3 linked regions of the Stegostoma tigrinum genome follow. The main gene of each other region encodes a partner of the protein of the gene in region 2 in a complex. Links are inferred from orthologs where the notes say so. Each region holds a gene or a part of one and is shown on either strand. Other genes may lie near its edges. The genes, in order: nsmce2, nsmce1 and nsmce4a.

Region 1 (8,211 bases), on a different chromosome or scaffold from region 2:
ACAGAAGTGCCTCAGGGTGGTGTTCAAGGCCCAAACATCATCAGCTGAGCAAATACCTTCCCTCCATCATAAGATCAGACGTCAGGGTGTACAATGATGACATACAACGTTCGGCATGATTTACTATTCTTTAGGTACTGAAGCCGTCAACGCCTACATGCAGCATAAATTGAACAACAAATGAATGCTTGGGCTAAGCAGCAAGTCAGATTCATGACACAAATGCTAGCCAATGATCATCTCCAACAAGAAAGAACTTAATCATTTCCCTTTGGCATGCAGTGGTATTATGATCAAATAAATTTCCATTAACATCCAGGTGGTTAACCATTGACCATATGTGAATAATCCACTTCCAGATTCTCCAAAGCCTGCTACTGTTTAAGGTAAAGTCAAGAGTGTAATGGAAGAGTCTCCACTTGGCCAAATGAACACAACTCTAGTTACATGTACAGTTCAACATGATGGAGGATAAAGCAATGCAATTCTTCCACAGTGTTAAACAGTCAACAGCCCCACCACAAGGACACAGCGGCAGCAGTGTTTATAAGTTTATTTTATGTATTGTAATAAACTCAGCAAAGCTCCTTCAACAGTACCTTTCAAAACTACAGCATTGACCAGCAAGAAAAAAGCAAGCCAACAGACGAGTGACAATATGATCTTCCGCACCTACACAGGCCCCAAACCCCACCTCTTCCTCCGGTACATTGATGACTGTATCGGCGCCGCCTCTTGCTCCCCAGAGGAGCTCGAACAGTTCATCCACTTCACCAACACCTTCCACCCCAACCTTCAGTTCACCTGGGCCATCTCCAGCACATCCCTCACCTTCCTGGACCTCTCAGTCTCCATCTCAGGCAACCAGCTTGTAACTGATGTCCATTTCAAGCCCACCGACTCCCACAGCTACCTAGAATACACCTCCTCCCACCCACCCTCCTGCAAAAACTCCATCCCCTATTCCCAATTCCTCCGCCTCCGCCGCATCTGCTCCCACGATAAGACATTCCACTCCCGCACATCCCAGATGTCCAAGTTCTTTAAGGACCGCAACTTCCCCCCCACGGTGATTGAGAACGCCCTTGACCGCGTCTCCCGCATTTCCCGCAACACATCCCTCACACCCCGCCCCCGCCACAACCGCCCCAAGAGGATCCCCCTCGTTCTCACACACCACCCTACCAACCTCCGGATACAACGCATTATCCTCCGACACTTCCGCCATTTACAATCCGACCCCACCACCCAAGACATTTTTCCATCCCCACCCCTGTCTGCTTTCCGGAGAGACCACTCTCTCCGTGACTCCCTTGTTCGCTCCACACTGCCCTCCAACCCCACCACACCCGGCACCTTCCCCTGCAACCGCAGGAAATGCTACACTTGTCCCCACACCTCCTCCCTCACCCCCATCCCAGGCCCCAAGATGACATTCCACATTAAGCAGAGGTTCACCTGCACATCTGCCAATGTGGTATACTGCATCCACTGTACCCGGTGCGGCTTTCTCTACATTGGGGAAACCAAGCGGAGGCTTGGGGACCGCTTTGCAGAACACCTCCGCTCAGTTCGCAACAAACAACTGCACCTCCCAGTCGCAAACCATTTCCACTCCCCCTCCCATTCTCTTGATGACATGTCCATCATGGGCCTCCTGCACTGCCACAATGATGCCACCCGAAGGTTGCAGGAACAGCAACTCATATTCCGCCTGGGAACCCTGCAGCCATATGGTATCAATGTGGACTTCACCAGTTTCAAAATCTCCCCTTCCCCCACTGCATCCCTAAACCAGCCCAGTTCATCCCCTCCCCCCACTGCACCACACAACCAGCCCAGCTCTTCCCCCCCACCCACTGCATCCCAAAACCAGTCCAACCTGTCTCTGCCTCCCTAACCGGTTCTTCCTCTCACCCATCCCTTCCTCCCACCCCCAGCCGCACCCCCAGCTACCTACTAACCTCATCCCACCTCCTTGACCTGTCCGTCTTCCCTGGACTGACCTATCCCCTCCCTACCTCCCCACCTACACCCTCTCCACCTATCTTCTTTGCTCTCCATCTTCGGTCCGCCTCCCCCTCTCTCCCTATTTATTCCAGTTCCCTCCCCCCATCCCCCTCTCTGATGAAGGGTCTAGGCCCGAAACGTCAGCTTTTGTGCTCCTGAGATGCTGCTTGGCCTGCTGTGTTCATCCAGCCTCACATTTTATTATCTTGGAATCTCCAGCATCTGCAGTTCCCATTATCTCTGACAATATGATCTGCAAGTTTCCCTCAGAGCTACAAGCTATTCTAACTTTCAACCCAAGTTCCTTCACTGCCACTGGTCAAAAAAAAATTCTAGAACTCCCTTCCTACCATCACCAGATGAAATATGGGGGTTCAAGAAAGCAGCTCACCCCCTCCTTCACAAGAGCAATAAATAGTGGCCTTACCTGTCATTCTCATATGCCATGAGCAAATAAAACAAACGGGACTGTGAGACTAGGCTACTTGATTCAGGTAGGAGAACCATGAGTACAGAGCCAAATTGGTTATGTGGTTTGATTGTGTGCAGTAACGGTAATCCTCAGCTTAACCAAGAAATTTCTGAACTTTTTTTACCCCATAGACGCCACTCAATAGTCCTTGAAGAAAAAAAATCTAGAAATGCTCAGCAGTCAAAAAGGAAACATCTAAACTCTGAATATCAACCTGAAAGGTTAACCCTGTTTCAATCTCCACAGAAACTGCCAGATCTGCTGAGGATTTCCAGGAATCTGTTTCTACGTTTGATTTCCAGAACCTTCAGTGCAGGGCTTTAGCATCCTTTCAAAGACCTTTGTGAAATGTTGATAAACAAGCAACTAATTTTGGTCGCTTTCCAAAATAAACAATTCTCCTCCATCTATACGCAGGGACACAGGATCATGAATTGAATGAATTTATAAGCATGAATTGATTACAAATCCATAAAGATGACAAGTTGAACGTTTCTCTCCCTCTCCTAGTACTGCTTGTTTATCCCAGTTTGGTTATTATATTTGTTTTGCGTTTGTGAACTAACTTGGCTCCTGAATGCTGAAACTCCAGAACAACAGCTAGCCGCTGGATACGAAACAAAGCAGCAATTCGCATGTGCTGAAACAAGTTAAATTACACAAATGTAACTCACAAACCACACACCAATCTAGGCCTTCCTCCCCTTGGCCGCCGCCGCTCTGCGATTCAAATGGCCAACACGGTGTCGCACAAGGCGCCCTGGGACATGTAGTCTGCAGCCACCCCACTCTTCCACTTCCAGGATCCCCAAATAGAAAACTACAAATCCCAGTATCCACTGCAAACTATCCCTCCTTTCCCCCGGAAACAGTTGTTGCGAATGCCTCTGATTGTCGCTGTTCGCTTCAGTTGCCGGTGGCTTGAGTCGCCCACTAGGATTAAGGCAGCAAATGTCTGCAACACCACAACAAAATGTTGGAAGTTACAGCGGTTCAAGCAGCTTGCAAGGACGGACAGTAACCTAATGTTTTGAGTCTAAATGATCCTTCATCAGAGCTGACGTGAACTGTGGACGGGACAACATTTCTGCAAAATAGTGGGGTGGGAGACAGGGTGTTGATAATGTTCCCTTCATAATTCACGTCAACTTTGATGAAGAGTCACCTGGACTCAAAACATTAGCTTGCTTTCACTCCATGGATACTGTCTGACCCTCTGTGCTCTGTAGCATTCTTATGTTTCCAGCATCTGCAGTAATTTGCTCCAAACTCCTGCACAAGCTCTTCTCAAATCATGAGCACACTTGCTAAGTCCAACCTGTCCCAAAAATGGGCGGGAGTGCTGAATGACCTGATTATGTGCCGTCCAATTTGTGTGATGAAAATTCAATAAAATAATATTAATAAGGGCCAATTTAGGGTGTGGACAGTTCTGTTCAGGACACATTCATCGCATCATGAAGTGTTTGGAAAACCGCACTGAGCCTACCACATTCCTGCCAGCTCCCACTCCTAACCATTCACCATATAAAAACTCTTGACTTTTTAATCTATCACCTAGATCAGTATCTATTGATATCGGATCCTTTAGTCAATTGGAACAGTTCTGTTGTGTCCAGACTCTTCACACGTATGGGCACATCTCTTGAACCACTGCACAACCATTGTCACAAAAAGAGCAACTCAGCTTCATCAATCTATTCCTGCAACAGCCCAGGTACAAGTTTTGTGAGCCTTTCATGTTCGCCACATAAAGCCTTATATTCTTAAAAATACAGTACCCAGAACAAGACACAATACTTCAGATGAGGCCAAACTCATGTTTGGTTAAGGTTCTCCTGCCTCTCTATTTATAAAGCCTAATATACCATTTGCCCTTTTAACCCCTTTCTCAACATGCCCTGGCTCTAACAACAATGTATACATTTAAGCATCTCCGTCACTGCAGCTTCTTTAGAATTTGTACGTATTATTTTACGTTTCCTCTTCCCCTTCTTCCTAACATTTTAAACTCCTCTGAATTTCATTTCATTTGCACCCATTCCACCAATGACCATGTCTCATGAACTTTATTCTCCTCATAGCTCACAATACCTAAAAGGTTTTGTGTCACCCCCTAATATTGACGTTGTGCCCTGTACATCAATATCTAGCCCATTAACATAAACTAAGAAAAAAAGGCCCCAGAATAGACATCTGAGAAAAGCCACATACACCTTCTCCCAGTCTGAAATACAATTCACCACTATACTGTTTACAGTCACTCAGCAAACCTCACATCCATGCTGCCATTCCTCCTATTATTCCATGGGCTTCAACTCTGCTGAGGAGCCTGTTATGTGGCACCTTATCAAAAACTGTGGATGGATAGATTTCAGGATGGCCATTGATAAGATGCCCTGTCAAAGGTTGTTAGGAGTGACATATTGGCATGGATAGAAGATTGGCTTGCAAGCAGGACACAGAGAGTAGCAATAAATAGATAATTTTTTTAGGCTGGCAGATGTCACGAGTGATATGCCACAGGGATCAGTGGTGGGACCTCAACTCCTTGCAATTTATAAAAGATTTGAATCAAAGGATCGAAGGGTAGCTAGATTTCCAAACAACACAAAGAAATATAGGAAAATGGACTATGAAGAGGAAATAAGGAGCAGACAAGACAAATACAGATAGATTAAGTGAACGGATAACAGCCTGGCAAATGAAACAATGTGGGAAAGTGTGAAATTTTCCATTTTGACAGAATGAATGAAAGGAAGTATAGTATCTAAATGATGAGAAGTTGCAGAGCTCTGAGAGATAGAGAAACCTGGGTAAATAAGAGCATGAATCACAGAAGTACACAAGTAGAGCAAGTGAGCAGAACGTTATGGTTTATTGCAATGGGAATGGTATGCAAGAGAGGTTATGTTTCAGTTATACAGAACAATGAGAAGACCATACCTGGAGTACTTGTACAGTACAATCACTGGGCTTGCAGAAGGATGGTAATGCTTTGGAAGCAGTTCCCAGAAGGTTTAGTGAGCTAACAATTAGAATAGCGAGTTTTGAGAAGATTTGTAGCTCAGGTTGAGTTTCTGGATGTGAGTTTGCTTGCTGAGCTGGAAGGTTAGTTTTCAGATGTTGCGTCACTTTTTTTTATTTGAAAAAATATACTTTATTCATAGAATGTACAAAAAATAAAACATTTATACACCTACCCAGTCATGCAAGCCGCTCTGGGTTACCCAGGGGGTACGTACACCAACTAAAGGAAAAGAACAAAACAAAGAAAAACAAAGAAAAGAAAATATCCCGTCAGTCGTCTCCCCGCATAGTCCCAGTTGGCCCCCTGACCAGTTGGGGAAGGCACCAGCTGGGCCCAGTTACCAGATAGGACCCTTTTTTCTATTCTGGACGAGGGGTTTCATACGGTGGTCTTTCCCCACCGTGCCTTGGCTGCGGCTGCCCCAAGCTTTAGCGCGTCCCTCAGCACGTAGTCCTGGGCCTTGGAGTGCACCAGTCTGCAGGTCGGCACAACATCGAGTCTTTGTAGAAGATCCTTTAAGATTTTCTTTGAATATTTACTTTATCTTTTAAATACAGAACAGCAATTTCTCACTTTCAAACTGAATTTGGAATAAATTCTTCAATAAGAAACTGTATTGGTTCCTACTCAAAACATCAAAAGCAGCAAATTCATGGTATGGATGACCTGCAATCTTCTCCCTCAGAAGTGTCCCCAGATCACAATGTTACCTGTTTGTAATCAATAGTCGGTTGTAAAAATACTGAGAGTTACTAAAACAACTATCTCAATAACATTAGATTTATCATGGAGTGACCCTGAAGATTAGATTCAAGGTTGCCATTTGTTTTCCAGCATTATTGTGATCTTTGTCTACTTTGCTGTTTACGAAGATGAAAATTAGAAAGGAATATTACTCAAAGATCTCCGTAAAATTCCAGTGACTGAACATTATAGGACAACATTTAACTTGCACTACAAAACATCTTTGAAAAACCATTAAGTTGCATACCACACAGCATGATCAGAAAGAACTTTTAATGGTCAGCTGTACAGTCAAAAATTGCCTTCATATGTAAAAATGTTTTGATTTTAAGATCAACCATTATCCTTCCAAAGGCAATCCATTCAATATAACTTGAAGTTCCAGTTTTTAAAGAAATGCAAATTGCAAAGGCTTAAACAATTAATTTTACTTAATTTACAGCTCACTCAAAATGCAATACATTAGTCATAAAATTTTGTTTCTCAATAGTTCAAGTAAACTTTTTTATTTGAATCAAAATATAGATTATACATAACTGAGCTGTATTTTGTTTGGAGAAGAAAAGGGTTCAGCATTGATGCTACAATGTTATTGCAAATGCAAAATGTAAATTCTTCTTTGCATTCACACAACTTTTTTAGCAAAATTCTGAATTCACCGTTTTCATGTGTCATTCTGGCTGAGACAGGCATATTCAGATTAACCAAGGATTCCAGTATTTATCAGGTATTAGTACGCACACCACTTCACATTGAGGCAGACTACTTTCTTCATCTCAGGCATCATTATAGAATTGTTCTGAACTCATCGAAGATGAAACTAGGGACATGTGCTTCCACAACCTGGCAAGAAAAGTGCAATAATGTTTATCAATTGTTTTTATAAAGTGCTGTACATAAATATCAATTGAAGAAGGACAACCTGGTCAGCAAGGCCTCAATATTTTCCTATATATCTTTTGTCGCCTTTCTTCAGAGTGCTAAGACAGTTCTGAACATTGAACACATTTTATCATATGCATTGGAAACTAGACAACAGAAGAAATCTATCCAAGCCCATTGCATTCTGGAATTCCACAGCTAAATAACAATATTTCAATCTGGTGTAGTATAACTCCTTCCTGGTAGATTGTAATATGAATATTAAGGAACATTTCCTCACCTTTCTGGGTAATTTTGTGTAATAAACATAATTCTCCAAGAACATCAAGGCAGCCACAGCATCAGCAGGCATTTCTGGGATTTTCTGACTAAATAAACAAAAAAGAGAAAAAAAAAAAGACACCCTGGAGTTATTTATCATACATTTAAAACATTGCAACAAAATCTGTTACAGACAACCTGGGGCTGATATTTCAAAATTATTTTGTTTAAGCTTCAGCCATCCTGCCTTTAAAGAAACAATGAGAAATTTTAGCCATTCAACTATTAGATTAAATCATTCAGTCTTCCAGCATCAGCCTTTTCCCAAACCAAATGATCCTTACCTAGTAGTGCATTGCTCCACAATGGAGCGAACGAACTGGCCAATTAAGGCCAGAAAATGCTCTGTGTAACGCGAGTGGAATTGCTTCAGCAGAGTGACAAGTCCAACCACCAGAGGTGGCCAATCTGTGGGATCCGTGGACTTCTTACACACCATGCCTGCATGCAGAAAAAAAATGCAACAATCAAACTATCCATATGTTTTTAAGAGTTAATTATTAGATAGTTAAAAACAGATCTTTCTTAATTTTCTTCTCCGTTACATGACTTACTAAATACTATTTGCAGATACTGGAACCAAGACAATGTGTGATAGAACTTTTTTCTAAAAAGGCACATCTCCTGCCAATTCACTTGAACAGGAAGTCATGCTGTTGGCATCATTTTACATCCTCGCCACAACTGAGCCTGAACCAGTGACAGAGTAGCTGTTGACGGAAAGGAAATAGTATGCCTATTGTTGCTGCCT
Region 2 (7,928 bases):
TGTGTTTAAACGGGATGAACGTTAGGAGGAAGTGGAACCTGACTGCGGCAGGTAATTATTTACTCTTGACAACAGGCTGAATAATACTACAGATAAAGCTTTATGTTGAAAGTGCAGAAACAAGTAACAAAAACAAGTGCAAATATAAGATCTTAAAGGAACTATGCCTTTCTGAGAAACTTTGATAATAGTTTATATTTATGTTGTGCCTTTAATGTTATCAAAACCAAATACGCCATTATAAAACAAAACAAATATTATTATAAATATTATAAACAAAATATAACACTAAGCCATAAAGGAATTTTGGGTAGATGAATAAAACTTAGGGGCCAAAGAGATAGACTTAAGACATGTCTTAAAGGAGGAAACAGCGGTAAAGATATCTGTTGTTTAATTGTTCTATTTTTAATTATGTAACTTTGGTAACTGATATGTTACCTGTGTTTAATTGCTTAAGCCTTGGTGTTGACTCAGAGCTAGAGCAAACAAATGAAGAGCTAGAAGCAAGAACTGGGTTAAGCATCGGTGCTGATACAAGTGTGATGTAGAATGTGGTAAACAAGCTAGGAGTCCTTTGGAATAGTGATGTTTGGGGGTAATGAATGTATGACTGAGATTTTAAGCAGAGAAGAATTCAGGCAAGGTGAGAAAAAATATGTGCTATAGAAAGTGAAATTATGTGGTCTTGATGATAGTGCCCATTCATGGTTGAAGGCTTACTCTGGGGTCAAATAGGTTGCAAACAACTCGATTTGCCCTCTTTTCATAAAGCTTATTTGTAAAAATATTTATTGGGTGGGGGTGGCAAAGAGAAAAAAAAAGCTAGAACCTGGAAATTATTTCCAAAGGAGTCTCTCTTAAAAGTGTGATCAGAGATAATGGGAACTGCAGATGCTGGAGAATCCGAGATAACAAAGTGTGGAGCTGGATGAACACAGCAGGCCAAGCAGCATCTTAGGAGCACAAAAGGTGACGTTTCGGACCTAGAAGGGTCTAGAATTGGGAGCTAAAGCAAGGATATTTTTGGGATTTTGACTAATGCTGGGATATGTTAGTCTCACATTCTTCTAACTGAAATCCTGAAGGAGATACAGTATTAGGTTGTAAATGTCATCAAGCAAACATTCTTGCAAAAGTGCCACACGGATACAATAATTAAAATTCAAATCATTAACAAAAAGAAATCTTAAATCGCCATGTTATTTTGTCTGGTCTATTTCTTCCCAGTCATATGCCTTTTCCAATCAGTGAACTGGAACTAGTGAATCACCCTCACAAACTAATTGGCATGGGGTACAACTGATTTTGAAAGATGTTAATTCATTTGTTTGGCTTCTGTGTTTCCCTGTATATGCTATTATGATCTCAGCTGATGACAATATTGGACAAAATCAGGTTATAGAATGAAACTCAGGTCCGTAAATAATTTATTTCGAATTTTCCAATATCCTTTTAACAATTCGATTTTGATTATGATGGATATACAATTTTTTCAGTCGAGTCCTCTAGTATGGAATCACATGGGAATGTTCCCTTTTTAACATGTTGACTTTATGATAAACAATGCAGTCTTTGTTACTCAATTAGTTTCAACACTATTAGGACAGGTGGGCTCCAGCTACTACAACTTAGTTCAATAATATATAATTTCATCTTGTGCTCAACCATGTCCCTCACTTGAGCTAACCCTTTGGGTTGAGTCTGTAAGAATATTATTTTATGGGTAACACACACCCTACATTAATAGCATGCATAGCAATAGATTCTCATGGCCTATTGAATGATTTATGTGTTTGTCACAGCTTCCTAAGTCACTTTGATAGTTTTCTGGGAATTAGCAATAATATTCCATCCACGTTTTAAGTAATCCATACTATCCAATCTGATTTTTGGGGGATCAACTTTTGAAGTTCCAATTTCATTCTCCGATTGTTCAGATATTTTATTTTCATTCCCTATGTTTATCACCATTGTAAATATACTTTCTCTTGACTATCCTGTCTGTCATTAAAAAAATGTCCTTATATTAACATGATATGCATGCTGAGTTTTCTCCTGTCTGGAATATTGACAACTTAATTCACGTCTTTGAGTTTCTTTTTTATTTGTTACGATCCAGTGACCTAAGCTTTTAATGGTTTCCAGAGACGGATATCAGACCTTAGATCTGGCAATAAATCTTCAAACTTTTTAGCTGTTCTAATTTTGTTGAAAGACTTAATACTTTTTTAGTCTAGCTTAGTTTTTCTCTGAAACTTAAAACATAGGCATTAAGCATAGGGCAGAATCTTTTGGGGTCTGGATGTCATATTAGACAAGGAGTGGATATAAGTCCGGTGAGATCCATCTTGACATCAGAAGTGTCACGTTCCATCTTTTATGCTTTTATCAAATGGCATGGAGTTTCTCACTAGGTGGTGAGTTACCGATTGAGAAGGATACAACTTGTCTCATTAATGTTCAGCTGTATTACCAAAGACATCTTAGTGAAGAAGGCATTTGGTACACTTGCCTTTATTAGTAAGTGCATTGAGTATAGGAATTGGGATGTCATGATGCAGCTGTACAGGACATTGGTTAGGCCATATTTGGAATACTGCGTCCAATTCTATTCTCCCTGCTATAACAAAAGATGTTGGGTATATGAACAGAAGGTATTCAGAGTGATATGCGCCAAATGGGACTTGATTAATTTAGGAAATCATACAGCTGTATAATTCTACCAGTGGTCTGGAGAGGTGCCATTGTGGTTGTGAGGGTTTGACAAATGCTGAACGCCAATGTTTGTGGACAAGGGCTGAGTGCAGCTAGTGCACAAAAACGCAGTTTGGTTGTATGTAACATGGATTTCCTTCAGATCAAGCAAATTCGTAGCTGCTCTGGTTTCCAATCTGTGTTTTCTCAATGACTAGCTTGTTATAGTCAGAGTTTACAGACCCTTTGGTCCAACTCATCCATGCCGAGGAGATAGCCTAAACTAATCAAGACCTATTTGCCAGCAATTGACACATATCTCTCTGAACACCTCTACTCATCCAGATGCCTTTTAAATGTTATAGTTGTACCAGCCTCCACCACTTCCTCATTTCACACACACACCACCTTTTGCATAAAAAAGTTGCCCCTTGGGTCCCTTTTAAATCTTTCACTCTCATCATAAACTTATGCCTTCTAGTTTAGGACCCCCTTTTCCTGGGAAAAGACCTTGGTTATTCACGCTCTCCATGCCCCTCATGCTTTTACAAACCTGTATCAGGTCACCCCTCACCCTCTGAAGCTCCGGGGAAATAGCCCCAGCCTAGTCAGCCTCTCCCTATAGCTCAAACCCTCCAACCCCTGCAATATTGAAATCATTTCTGAACCCTTTCAACTTTCACAACACCTGTCCTACAGCATGGAGGCCAGAACTGAAGGCAGTATACCAGAAGTGGCCTAATATGTTCTTTTCCTGAGGGCTTAACCCCCTTTTATATAAGCAGCATAAAAACAGGATAATGAAAACTGGTGGGAAAAGGTGGTATTTATGACAACGATGGAAGTGGGGTAGGGTAGCAGGCATAAACTGGGTTGACAGACATGGGTGCCAAGTCAAAAAAGAGCAAAGGGGCTGCTAGTTTTAAACAGAGCAGAAGTTATGCTGAACGAGTGCCAGCAGCAAGTGTAAATAGTCTAAAATGGGTTGACTGTTCTGGATGCATACACAATAGGACCTGAGGTTGGACAAGAGACTTGGAAGAAGGTTTACATTCTCTGATTCAGTGTTGAATTCTGACAATTGTAAATTGTCTTATTCCTCCAGCTTGCTTTGAGCATCCTTTAAGAACTGAAGCAGCCTGAGACACTAATATTGACGTGAGAAAACAGTAGTGTGTCCAAGCGGCAGGCAACTAGAAACTCGGGTCACTTTTACAGACGTACCATTCCTCCCCTCCCCCTAATCTCAGCCACCATAAGCTAAAATACAACTATTTTTCACTGGCTTTCAATTCTGACAAAAGGTGGCTGGACTCCCAAGCGGCGACCTGTTTCTCGTTCCATTGCCAGACCTGCCGAGTTTCTCCGAAACACTTTGTGTTCGTTTCCAATCCCCACAATCCGCGGCCCTTACTTTTACTTTACAAAGGAAAACAAGTGAAATCTGTTTTGAGATCTGGGGGGAAAAAAATCACTTCGTGTTTCTAACCAACCTCGGATATTTCCAAAGAACTCACATTCTGGTGACCAACTGTTCTAACCATCCCGACTGAACATTTTATTTCACTTTTCGGAAAGGGTTTGGAGAAAACTTGCCCCGAAAGAGTTTGCGTTTGGCATCAAACACTGAATTTTTTTTTGAAACCATGAAGTTTCTAACAGAGATTTTAAGAGAAACGAGCAGCTTTAAGGTATCAGGAAAATGAAGAAGATCCTTTAGCAAAACAAACTACAAAGACGCCAACATCGAACTCCGCACCGAACAAAACTCTCAACTGTCGCCAGGGTACAGAAAGTTCTGGAACCCAAACCCATAATGCACCGCGGAGTCACTGCTGATGGGGATTGTGGGAAATTGTGACTGCGGCCCCGGTGAGTGGTGCTGCGGGGTGGGCCGAGTGATTCAGAGATGGAATGGAATATAGTCTGGGATCGGGGTGGGGGAGTGTTGCGAGTGTTTAAGGAGGGATGGGGTAAGCGAAAACGATGAGGGGTTTAGAAGGGAGGGAGAGAGAAAAAAAAAGCGGGCGGGGGTGGAGGGAAGAAGGGGGAGTGGAGTGAGAGTGGGGAGGGGGGGTCGGAGAGATGGGGGGGCAGTTGGGTGTACGAGAGAGAAGTGAAAGGGTTGATTAAGGAGAATTAGGTGAGAGATAGGGGAAGGGGCTAGGTGATGTGGAACACAGGGAGAGAGACGTGTGAGAGGAATGGTCAAGGTAGTCAGAGGGGATGGGCAAGGAGTATTGGGTGGCAGGGAATGGCAAAGATATTGGGGGATGGGGTAATGGAGTGGGGTGAGGAGAGGTGTTGGAGTTGGGAAAGGGGTGGCAAGGGACATGGGTGGTTGGACAGATTTAGAGGCCTGTGGACTGGTAACTGGAGGATGGTGGGATGAGACTGGAGGGGGTAGATGGCAAAAAGGTTGGCAAAGATAGAAGCTTGAATGGATTGGGTTTTGATAAGGGTGGCAATGGTTGCTGGCAGAGAATAGGGTAAGGCAGGCATGGAAAAGAGGACAGAGAAGAGGATTAGAGATGAAATGGGATGGATGATGCTTAATGGTGTGGGGAGTGGGAGAAGCGTTGGAGGCATGGTGAGTGAATTAGTGTTGGGCAAATGGAGGAAAGCAGGAGTGTAGAGTGAGGTAACCCTTTGTGCAGCCTTGGGGAATGGATCCAACTCATCTGAGGAGGGTAGTGGAAGTACATAACACAGTGAAATGCCCCATGGCAGCAGTTAAATAATGACCAAATTGTTTGATTTCTGCGTGATGCCAAGGTTCTCAGTTTAGTCTGTTTTTATTTCTCCAGGAGAGTGTAGTGTTGTAATGGCAGCAGTGCTAAATGAGAGCCACCGACGATTCCTGCAGACTATGATGTCTCAAGGAATTCTAGAAGGATCGATGATGAGGAAATTGCACAAACATTGTTGTGAAACACACCAAGGTCAGCTGACTGTTAATGTGCATTTACTTCTTGTGGTCTTTCTCAGAAGAAAGATCATCTTGAAATTTAATGTTGCTCAAGTTTGTGGGCAGTTTTATGCAAGAGAACTATGGGCTTTCAATATTTAGTGTCTTGTCATAGGTCAACATTTGAACATCACTTCGAGTGAGTTACTTACAAGTACAGTGATTTGTTATGCACAGCACTTAATCCCAATAACAACAGTCTCAATGCTGTTAATAGGCTTTTGGTGGGACAAGTAGATCTTCCATGTCTTGTTTGTGATTAGCCTGGTACATGAAGCAGAGTTGTTTAATTGCAGAAACTAAGCATCATGGAGCAAAATAGTGTTAACATTTTGTGTCCAAAACAAATCATCTTCAGACCTGAATGTTTCACTGTCACAGTGTTTCCCCAATCTTCCTGCCTTATAGCATCCTCCATCCCATTTCACTTCTCATCCCTCAGTTCTGGAGAAGAGTTATACAGAGTCTGTTAACTCCATCTCTTTGCAGATGTTGCCAGACCTGTTGAGTTTCACCAGCGTTCTGCATGTGTTTCGGGTTTCCAGCATCTACGATACTTTGCTTTTATTGTTATTTAACTGCTTACCTGGTCTGCTGCATACTGCCCGTGATAAAGGTAGTTTCAGTAAGGTCAGTTCAGGTTTTTGTAGCTTTTATCGACGTAGTTAGGTGGTAACTTGGTCAATTTGCAAATTTAGATAAGAAACCAACAAGGTTAGATTTTGATTTATAAAAATTGTACAATACTTGAAAGAGGTTATGCACTAAAAATAGAAATATTTTTTATTGAAGTAAATTGGTTGAGGAAAGTTTGTGGGAAATTCAGTGTGGGAACATGCCTATTGCTGTTGTGAGTTACAAATATTTCCAGAGTCTTATCTGTCATCCACCCACCCTCTCCTCTCATTCTTTTACACACCATTACTTTGATTACATTAGGGTTTCCACTGATTTACTCACTTTCTTTGAGTTCAACAGATTGATTCACTTCTTTATCAAGCAGTTGTTGCCTAACTACTTGTGAATACTTGGTGAGATCAGTCCTTCAGTAACTGGAACGGTAGAAAAATGGCAAGAAATTGACTTCTGCACTCTCCATTTGATATAATTTAACATCATTATTGAAATCTTTTATTCAGTTTGATTTTTAAATTTCTATTTACTCTTGTGAGAGTAATTGTGAGATCTGATTCAGGGGTCTGGAATCTGCTTCTGACTGAAATGACCATTCTTTTTGAGTGCTGGTAGATAACAGCTGTTAGGCAACGTTAATTTTCTTACAGATCCTGTGCTCACTCTTGGTGCGCATTCAAGTTTGAACTCTGTTGTCCAGCATTGATCCCTGGATACCAGGAGCAAGAATCCCTGTTGATTTATCTACAAAACTTATTTTCCTACTTTTGTAGTGTGAAGGCTGTGGCTGAATAAAAACTGAAAGGACTGCAGATGCTGTAAATCAGGAAAAAAACCCAGAAGTTACTGGAAAAACTCAACAGGTCTGGCAGCATCTGTGAAGACAAACGGCAGCACGGGGATCTCAGTGGCTACCACTGGTGCCTTACAGCACCAGGGACCCGGGTTCAATTCGAACCCCGGGCAACTGTCTGTGTGGCGTTTGCACGTTCTTCCTGTGTCTGCGTGGGTTTCCTTTTGGTGCTCCGGTTTCCTTCCACAGCCTGTAGATATGCAGGATAGGTGGATTAGCCATGGGATGTGCAGGGTTACAGCAATAGGTGAGCCTTGGTGGGATACACTTTGGAGAGTCAGTGTGAACCTGTTGGGTCGAATGGCCTGTTTCCACACTGAAGGGATTCTAATCGAAATCAGAGTTAACGTTTCGGGTCTGGTGAACCTTTCTCGGAACTGACGGCAGCAAGGAAATGTCAGTTTGTATGCAGAAAATAGGGTAGGGTGAGGGGATAAGGGGGAGCTCAAAGAGAGAGAAGAACAGTTGGCACATCAGTAAACGACCATGGTCAATGTGCCCTAAATTCTGGGAGCAGGTGGGGTCATAAATGGAAGAAATGTTTAATACAGGTGACTGGTTTGTTGTTGGTTGCCATTAACCTATGAGAAGGAGAGAGTGAATTCATGTTGTAAATGCCTTCTGACGCTGTGGAGTGACCTGAGTGATGAAAAGATGCATTTGCATGGGTATACCTGAAGTAGTACACTGAACACGTTGCTATATCTGTCCCAGTGTAAAGCAGATTACGTATCATACTATACACTTTCATTCTCAATGCTGTATCTATTTCACAGT
Region 3 (8,768 bases), on a different chromosome or scaffold from region 2:
CATGCTTTACGAAGGAGGTGGAATCTCTGGTTAAGACGAAGAAGGTGGCTTATGTTAGGATGAGATGTGAAGGCTCAGTTAGGGCACTTGAGGGCTACGAGGTAGCCAGGAAAGACCTAAAGAGAGAGCTCAGAAGAGCCAGGAGGAGACATGAGAAGTTGTTGGCGGATAGAATCAGGGTAAACCCTAAGGCTTTCTATAGGTATTTAAGGAATAAAAGAATGACGAAAATAAGATTAGGCCCAATCAAGGATAGTAGTGGTAAGTTGTGTGTGGAGTCAGATGAGATAGGGGAAGCGCTAAATGAATATTTTTCAACAGTATTCACTCTAGAAAACGACAATGTTGTCGAGGAGAATGCTGAGATACAGGCTACTAGACTAGGTGGGATTGAGGTTCACAAGGAAGAGGCATTAGAAATCCTACAGAGGGTGACGATAGGTAAGTCCCCTGGGCCAGATGGGATTTATCCTCGGATCCTCTGGGAAGCCAGGGAGGAGATTGCCGAGCCTTTGGCATTGATCTTTAACTCGTCATTGTCTACAGGAATAGTGCCAGACGACTGGAGGATAGCAAATGTGGTTCCCCTGTTCAAGAAGGGGAGTAAAGACAACCCTGGTAATTATAGACCAGTGAGCCTTACCTCAGTTGTTGGTAAAGTGTTGGAAAAGGTTATAAGGGATAGGATTTATAATAATCTAGAAAAGAATAAATTGATTAGGGATAGTCAGCACGGTTTTGTGAAGGGAAGGTCGTGCCTCACAAACTTTATTGAGTTCTTTGAGAAGGTGACCAAACAGGTAGATGAGAGTAAACCGGTTGATGTGGTGTATATGGATTTCAGCAAGGCGTTCGATAAGGTTCCCCACAGTAGGCTATTGTACAAAATGCGGAGGAATGGAATTTTGGGAGATACAGCAATTTGGATTGGAAATTGGCTTGCTAAAAGAAGACAGAGGGTGGTGGTTGATGGGAAATGTTCATCCTGGAGACCAGTTACTAGTGGTGTACTGCAAGGGTTGGTGTAGGGTCCACTGCCGTTTGTCATTTTATAAATGACCTGGATGAGGGCGTAGAAGGATGGGTTAGTAAATTTGCAGACGACACTAAGGTTGGTGGAGTTGTGGATAGTGACGAAGGATGCTGTAGGTTGCAGAGAGACATAGATAAGCTGCAGAGCTGGGCTGAGAGGTGGCAAATGGAGCTTAATGCAGACAAGTGTGAGGTGATGCACTTTGGTAGGAGTAACCAGAAGGCAAAGTACAGGGCTAATGGTAAGATTCTTAGTAGTGTAGATGAGCAGAGAGATCTCGGTGTCCATGTACACAGATCCTTGAAAGTTGCCACCCAGGTTGACAAGGCTGTTAAGAAGGCATACAGTGTTTTAGCTTTTATTAATAGAGGGATCGAGTTCCAGAACCAAGGGGTTATCATTAAGCTGTACAAAACTCTGGTGCGGCCACACTTGGAGTATTGTATACAGTTCTGGTCACCGCATTATAAGAAGGATGTGGAAGCTTTGGAAAGGGTGCAAAGGAGATTTACTAGGATGTTGCCTGGTATGGAGGGAAGATCTTACGAAATAAGTCTGAGGGACGTGAGGCTGTTTTCGTTGGAGAGAAGAAGGTTGAGGGGTGACTTAATAGAAACATATAAAATAATCAGAGGGTTAGATAGGGTGGATAGGGAGAGCCTTTTTCCTAGGATGGTGACGGAGAGCACGAGGGGGCATAGCTTTAAATTGAGGGGTGAAAGATATAGGACAGATGTCAGAGATGGTTTCTTCACTCAGAGTAGTGAGGCAACGAAACGCTTTGCCTGTAACGGTAGTAGATTCGCCAACTTTAGGTACATTTAAGTCGTCATTGGATAAGCATATGGACGTACATGGAATAGTGTAGTTTAGATGAGCTTGAGATCGGTATGACAGGTCAGCACAACGAGGGCCAAAGGGCCTGTACTGTACTGTAATGTTCTATGTAAACAGGACAATTCCAGATTCTACTAACATTAGATGAAGTCCTGGAAAGAAATTGTTCACACCACCTTTATTTCACACAAACCAAATTGGTACACACTAGAGATAATGGGAACTGCAGATGCCAGAGAATCCAAGATAACAAAGTGTGCAGCTGGATGAACACAGCAGGCCAAGCAGCATCTCAGGAGCACAAAAGCTGACGTTTTGGGCCTTGACCCTTCATCAGAGGGGGGGGATGGGGAGAGGGTTCTGAAATAAATAGGGAGAGAGGGGGAGGTGGACCGAAGATGGATAGAGAAGATAGGTAGAGAGGAGAGTATAGGTGGGGAGGTGATAGGTCAGTCTACGGAGGACGGACATTTCAAGGCGGTGGGATGAGGTTGGCAGGTGGGAGAAGGAGATAGGAGAGGGGAAGAACAGGTTAGGGAGGCAGGAACGAGCTGGGCTGGTTTTGTGATGCAGTGGGGGGAGGGGACGAGCTGGGCTGGACTTCACAAGCTTCAAAATCTCCCCCTCCCCCACTGCATCCCAAAACCAGCCTCCCTAACCTGTTCTTCCTCTCACCTACCAACCTCATTCCGCTTCCTTGGACTAACCTATCCCCTTTCCATCTATCTTCTCCTCTATCCATCTTCAGTCTGCCTCCCCCTCTCTCCCTATTTATTCCAGAACCCTCTCCCCATCCCCTTCTCTGATGAAGGGTCTAGGCCCAAAACGTCAGCTTTTGTGCTCCGGAGATGTTGCATGGCCTGCTGTGTTCATCCAGCTCCACACTAGGACAGCCGGTAAGCAACTGAACTGGTAAAGTGGAGCAATCTGACTGGCTTTCAGAATCACATTCTGCGACGACACGTTTTCTCATGAAAGCCACAAAGCAGCAACTTCGGATATTTTGAAATATCAACTTGTTCAGGCATTTTATTCCACACCTCTGGAGATGAGAACTAAACTTAAATCTCCCGCTCGAAAGTAGTCTTATTGTTCAAGTCTAACCGAGTGGAAGTTATTGATAAACCATATTTATAAAGGGCAAGCCTGCTCAAAAAAAAGGGAAAGCCTGTTCACAAATAATATAGACGCAGGTTACTCGGTATCAAACTGGCCCGTGGTATTGATACAAGACAAGAGATTCTATTGTTATTTAATTTTACGTTTCCTATTGGAGTTCACAAGGGGAGAACGGAAGACCCAGAGTGTCCTGATGAGAGCGAGAAGAGGTTACAATCTGAACTGGGTGTCCCCGTGCCTGCTCACTCACGCTGGACGCTGTTGATAAGTTCCCGGTACTGGTGCCTCAGCATCCTCCGGCGATTCGGGTCATCATCCCGGGCCCCATACGGGATGGCGCCATCGACCAGCTCCTCGTCCTCGGTCACGGTGCAGTCCGAGACGGCTGAGTTTCTCCTGCCGCGCTGCGGAGCTCCCGCTCCGGCCATGGTGCCGTTGGAGGTGCCCGCAGCGGAGCGCTGCGATCCCCCGGGGGGATAAGGGGATCGGCCTCGACCTTTGCCCTCCGACATTGTTTCTCCACCCCGCCAGTACAAAGCCAAACCAGCGCCTTTCCAGCACGTCACCTCCACATGCGCCGGAAGTCAAAGCCACCGACTCTTAATTTGTAGTTGAACATGTTTCCCAGGTTTGCGTCATCAGTGAAGGACGAAAGGTGTTATTGCTTCAGATTTTAATTTTTATTAAATAAAAGTTCTGTATAGGGCCTCCTTGACCTGTTCGTCTCCTCTCAGCCTATCTTGTCCTTGATCCACCTTCTATCCGCCTCCCCCTCTCTCCCTATTTATTTCAGAATCCCCCCTCCCCCCGGGTTTCTGAAGAAGGGTCCTGACCCGAAATGTCAGCCTTTCTGCTTGGCCTGTTGTGTTCATCCAGCTTGTTATCTCATCCTACATAAAAGCATTACCCTATATAGAAGTGAGGGAAAAGAACCAAAACAAATTACTGGAGAAACTCAGCAGAATCTATTGGTGTGAGGCTGGAAAAGCACAGGAGGTCAGTCAGCATCAGAGGAGCAAAAAAGTCAACCTTTTGGGCTGAAACCCTTCAATAGTACTAGGTACACTAACGTTGATGTATCCTACTTTGATACTGTCTGACCTGCTGTGCTTTTCCAGTCTCACACCGACAGGTGCAGGCTTCTATTATCTACAGTCTTTATTTCTCTGGAGAAACTTTACAGGTCTGATAGCATCAGTGGAAAGAAAGCAAAGTTAACGTTTGAAGTCTAATGACCCTTCTTCAGAACCGATAGCTTGGAAAAGGTGGCATTTAAGCTCATCACAGGGTGGGGCACAAAGGAGTGAGCAATTAGATCAAGATAACAAAGTGTGGAGCTGGATGAACACAGCAGACCAAGCAGCATCTTAGGGGCACAAGAGTTGAAGTCAGGTTCCAGTCAGTCCTGTAGATCTGGTGCAAACAGTTTTGAAAGTCACAGTAAATCACTCGGGAAGCTGCACAGATTTCAGCCAAGGTTACAATCAGTTGTCAGAAGGGCTGACCATCCAGGTCTGTCAAGGGGTGGGGCACAAAGAGTGACAGTCCTAGAGCCCGTCCATTAAAAGGCAAAGAAGGCTTTACCAGGAGCTGGTGGTGAAACTGGGGAACTCAATTGTGATATTTTCAGGCAGAATGATGGGATGTGCAATGGAGCAGGAAATTCAATATAAAGGGGAGAGATGCTAGAGGTTAGGAGGGAATGAGATAATCAACAATCAGCATGACAAGTAGAGGGGAGGTGATGATCTAATTGCATTACCACTAGACTACTATTCCAGAGACCCAGATAATGTCTTGAGTACCTGGAATTCTAGCCATCATGGTAGAACTTGAATTTAACTAAAATATAATGTTGACAATGAAACTGTTGCCAACTGTTGGAAAAACCCATCTGGTTCACTATGCCTTTGAGGGAATGAAATCTGCCATCCTTACCTGGTCTGGCCTACATGTGACTCTAGACCCACAACAATGTGGTTGACTCTTAACTGCCCTCTGGGCAATTAGCCATGGGCAATAAATACTGGTCTGGCTAGTGACTTCCACATCCCATGAATGAATTTTAAAAAAACACCAATCTGGCTTTAATGGGGAGACAGTTCATTGCTATGTCTGGCATGATGGATGCAGTATGCTTAGGGTTCAGACAGTAATATGGGGAGAAATTGACAGTTTGGTTTAAAGAAGCAGTTTAGTATCCCTGGAGCTAGATTTACTCTCTTTTTTGAGTCACTTGTTTTAATAGAGTTTTAAAATAAAAATTAGCAACCTGCAATTCATCATGCCACAAATTCCTGTCCAGTTTCCCTTTCATGAGTACACTCATACCTCGAGCAGTGCTGAATGTTTACAAAAGAAAGTCATCTATGCGTTGAAATAAAATCCAGGATTAGAGCCTGTTCATTTTAACCTGATGACACATGATACCAGACAAGGCTAGCCTCACTTTAAACTACATCATAACAATATTGCCCAATACGATCTTGGTGCATAAGATTCTTGTGCAGCCACAGTTAGCTTCAGCTACAGTGGCCTGACATTAAACAATGATTGAAGACTTATAGAGGAGATACATGCTGCGCTCAACTGCACAAATGATGTGAAAATAAAGGTAAATAGTTCGTGAAGATATCAGAATACTAAGGTTTGAAGTTGAACTGATCTGTACATTACTCTGTTAGTTTAGTTTGGCATTTAGTATGGAGCTGCTTTTGGCTGAGAGCAAGTGCACTGTTGACTAAGCAGTCTCCAACTTAACTGTTTCTACTGTTATTAGTTACATATGTCATGAGAATCCAGTTTAGTTTGTATTTTAATCCATTTTTGTTTGTTCTGACTGTTCAAGTCTTTAACATTTGTGTATTAGATGTCTAATGCTGTGACATAATTTTTGAGCATGGCAATGAAAACTAGTTAATAGGCCATGACTGAAACATTTTTAAAGTTAAAAGCTGTGGGTAAGTGAAGGGTAGATCTTTTTCATACAAAGTTTAATTTAGAGCTTCTTCTTTTGGGCCTTATTGTATAGAATATAGGCTTGAAATCCTTCCAACATAGAGCGACAGCAGCAATCAGTCTATAAATACTGGAGTTGAGAAAAGTATGGGTCTTTTTCAGCAAAAATATGAAGGCAAATTTTTAAGGGCCAATTATGCCCGTCAATGGAATGCTATGTTCCTCCTGTTGAATGTAGGAGACGAGCAAACAGTTGACCATCTATGGAGACTATGTTTTCGGGAGGCGTGCTTGGATCTGTCTTCTACCAGACCATTTGGAATGGCTGGAAAGGCTGTTTGAGTCACTGAGGAGCATGCAAGAGACACAGGGTGTGATGGTCAGTAGATTTAGAGAGGTGGTCACACAGCAGGTTCAGTCAGATAGATGTGTGACTGTCAAGAGAGGTTGGAGGGTACTGCAGGAGTCTCCTGTGGCTGTTAGTGCTGGGATGCTGGAGTCTGCTTAATAATAGATATACTGGATACTACAAGACATAACAGGCCATTCTAAAAATTACTCATACATATTCAAATGTTTGCTTTTTCGAGTTAACTTTCTTCCTTCAATATGATACCTGGTATCAATCCGTTTTGAAGGACTTCATGATTTTTTTTATTATACTTGACTGCAAACTTAACATTGAAAGATCAGTTACCATTAAAATAAAAAAGCCAGACTGATAAGTTAAAATATTAACCGATAACAGTTTAGTTAATTGAGAGTGAACTTATGTTCACTTCGTGATATCACAGAAGAATCTGTACAGCAGTTGTTGAATATGTTGCACACAAAAACAATCACATAACCAGCGTAGCAGAGATGTGAAAAAGTAACATGTATCCTTAGGAGGGACACAAATATCATTTAGTATTTCAGTATTCTATGTATTAATGTTCAAATTCCAGTTTCATGTTAATATATTTTTTAATCAAGTTACAGTTTAAAAGTAAATCTTTATTCTAGTTATATTGATGGTTTTCTGTGAAGTAAACGGTTTTGAAATAGTTGTTCTGGTAGGAATTATAACAGAAATATGCATAGAGAGTCAAAACTAAATGACTGATTATAGATGTCATTTGTCACGTTATACAAGTGTGCTTTCTCTGAGTCACTAACACAGTAGAAAGTTCAATAGTCACTGTCATTGTCTTAACTGGATTTCCATTCTGATAAATACAGCAGTATTGCTTGCTGAACACGTTTTGAGTTGCTGGTGTTTCATAAAATGTTTATCTTGTTTCATTGTTTTTCCCAAAATAAGTTAATCTAATGCCTGTGAGCACGCTGCATTTTGTGCAGCATAAAATGTTGTTCCCTATGAAATGTGGTATTTGTGCAATTCTGTCTGGATAAATGCATGACAAGTTCCTTTTTAAGCAGCTCTTAAGTTCTGCACAATTAAGCAACTATTATTTTCCTGGATCTACTGGCTACTTAGATTTTATTTCAAAAACATTCCTTACAATACAAGTTACAGAATGCATGGATATGTCAGTGTGGAAGGAAAACTCAAAATCAGAAAAACAAACAGAGGTAAATCTGCTTGATAATTTACCCTTCCAAAAGGAATTTTAGGCGTTTAAGTCATCACCCAATTTTACAAGGCATTGATACCTTAGGGATGATTTACAGTAAAATGACTCTGGACTTAAGGCTTTGAGTTACAAAAGGAGATTTTATTGAAAATTTTAATGGAGAAAAATTAGATTGAGAGGACAAGATCAGACCTTGGGAGGTGTAAGTAACAATGACATAAACCATATGTAATGACAATGAGGTGTTATAAAGTGGAAGTGACTCCACCCCCACCTCAAGGACTGAAAGCAAAACACCCAAAGAGGAGCACCTCGCCCTATAATCTGTAAAAAGATTGTGAAAAGTGGTCTAACCTGCCTTTCAGCAACTTCTAGTGGTTAAATAAAATAAACCCCTGACATTCACATTACAATCAACAAGTGACAATTTATTTATCGAACTGTAACAGTGAACAAAGTAATTAATCGATTAACAAATTGAATGAATCCCTTCTAATGACTAACTTTTCACTACTAAAACAAGATCCTAATAGAATGCTGTTCCAATAAATACAAATCCCACTTATAAATAGTCTCTTGAAATTACAGCCAGGTGACATGTCTTCCAGAATATTCTGTATCTTCTACATTGATTCTTCTATCAGGAATATTCACTAGTTGTGCCAGGGGTACCTTTGTTCTTTAGATGGTGCTTTCTTTAATACATAGAGGAGCCTGTGAGAGCTGAGTACTATTAAGGCTGGCAGGTAGCAGTTAGCTCTACTGTCTTTGCCAACTGCCCCTTCTTTTATACCGTTGATGACATATCAATTTCTGAAAATGGAATTGGTCCTATGTTGCCAAAACCATCAGATAAAATTAAATTGGTTTTTGGTATTTTAAGTACCTGGTTCAAATTGATTGGTTAAAATCAAAACTTGTCATGATAAAAACTGCTGCTTCACTAGCTAACCGTACAGTTTTTTAAACAAATGTTTCAATTCAGGTACTTTCTGTGTACTTGTAAACTTTCAAGCTGCTGCTCACAGACTTTTTTTTAAATTCTGAAGCACAGAAAAAGCACATAATCTTTTAAAGGGACCATGCAATGTTCCCCCCCTCCTCCACTAACCAGCATTGTACTAACACCAAATTCTAATTTCTGGCCTCCAAATCTACAAGTACTCTATCTAACATTGCAACAGAGGGCAGATCTATAACTCATGACATTAATCGGATAAGAATGTTACAAAAAAATTTAAGTT

The links.
Region 1: nsmce1 (region 2) and nsmce2 share a complex: the UniProt entries of both Homo sapiens proteins name them as parts of the SMC5-SMC6 complex. The link is inferred for Stegostoma tigrinum from reciprocal best matches to the Homo sapiens genes NSMCE1 and NSMCE2.
Region 3: nsmce1 (region 2) and nsmce4a share a complex: the UniProt entries of both Homo sapiens proteins name them as parts of the SMC5-SMC6 complex. The link is inferred for Stegostoma tigrinum from reciprocal best matches to the Homo sapiens genes NSMCE1 and NSMCE4A.

The regions. Positions count from the first base shown.
Region 1 is NC_081358.1:47,630,907-47,639,117, reverse strand, and holds the start of nsmce2 (E3 SUMO-protein ligase NSE2), read right to left. Parts: upstream 3,279-8,211; 5' UTR 3,168-3,278; intron 1-3,167. Other genes in the region: washc5 (WASH complex subunit 5), read right to left, coding at 7,044-7,100, 7,420-7,507, 7,745-7,901. UniProt on the Homo sapiens protein: E3 SUMO-protein ligase component of the SMC5-SMC6 complex, a complex involved in DNA double-strand break repair by homologous recombination. Is not be required for the stability of the complex.
Region 2 is NC_081376.1:24,323,508-24,331,435, reverse strand, and holds the start of nsmce1 (non-structural maintenance of chromosomes element 1 homolog), read left to right. Parts: upstream 1-4,569; 5' UTR 4,570-4,606; coding exon 4,607-4,670; intron 4,671-5,504; coding exon 5,505-5,639; intron 5,640-7,928. UniProt on the Homo sapiens protein: RING-type zinc finger-containing E3 ubiquitin ligase that assembles with melanoma antigen protein (MAGE) to catalyze the direct transfer of ubiquitin from E2 ubiquitin-conjugating enzyme to a specific substrate.
Region 3 is NC_081373.1:27,618,926-27,627,693, forward strand, and holds the start of nsmce4a (non-structural maintenance of chromosomes element 4 homolog A), read right to left. Parts: upstream 3,556-8,768; 5' UTR 3,502-3,555; coding exon 3,240-3,501; intron 1-3,239. UniProt on the Homo sapiens protein: Component of the SMC5-SMC6 complex, a complex involved in DNA double-strand breaks by homologous recombination. The complex may promote sister chromatid homologous recombination by recruiting the SMC1-SMC3 cohesin complex to double-strand breaks.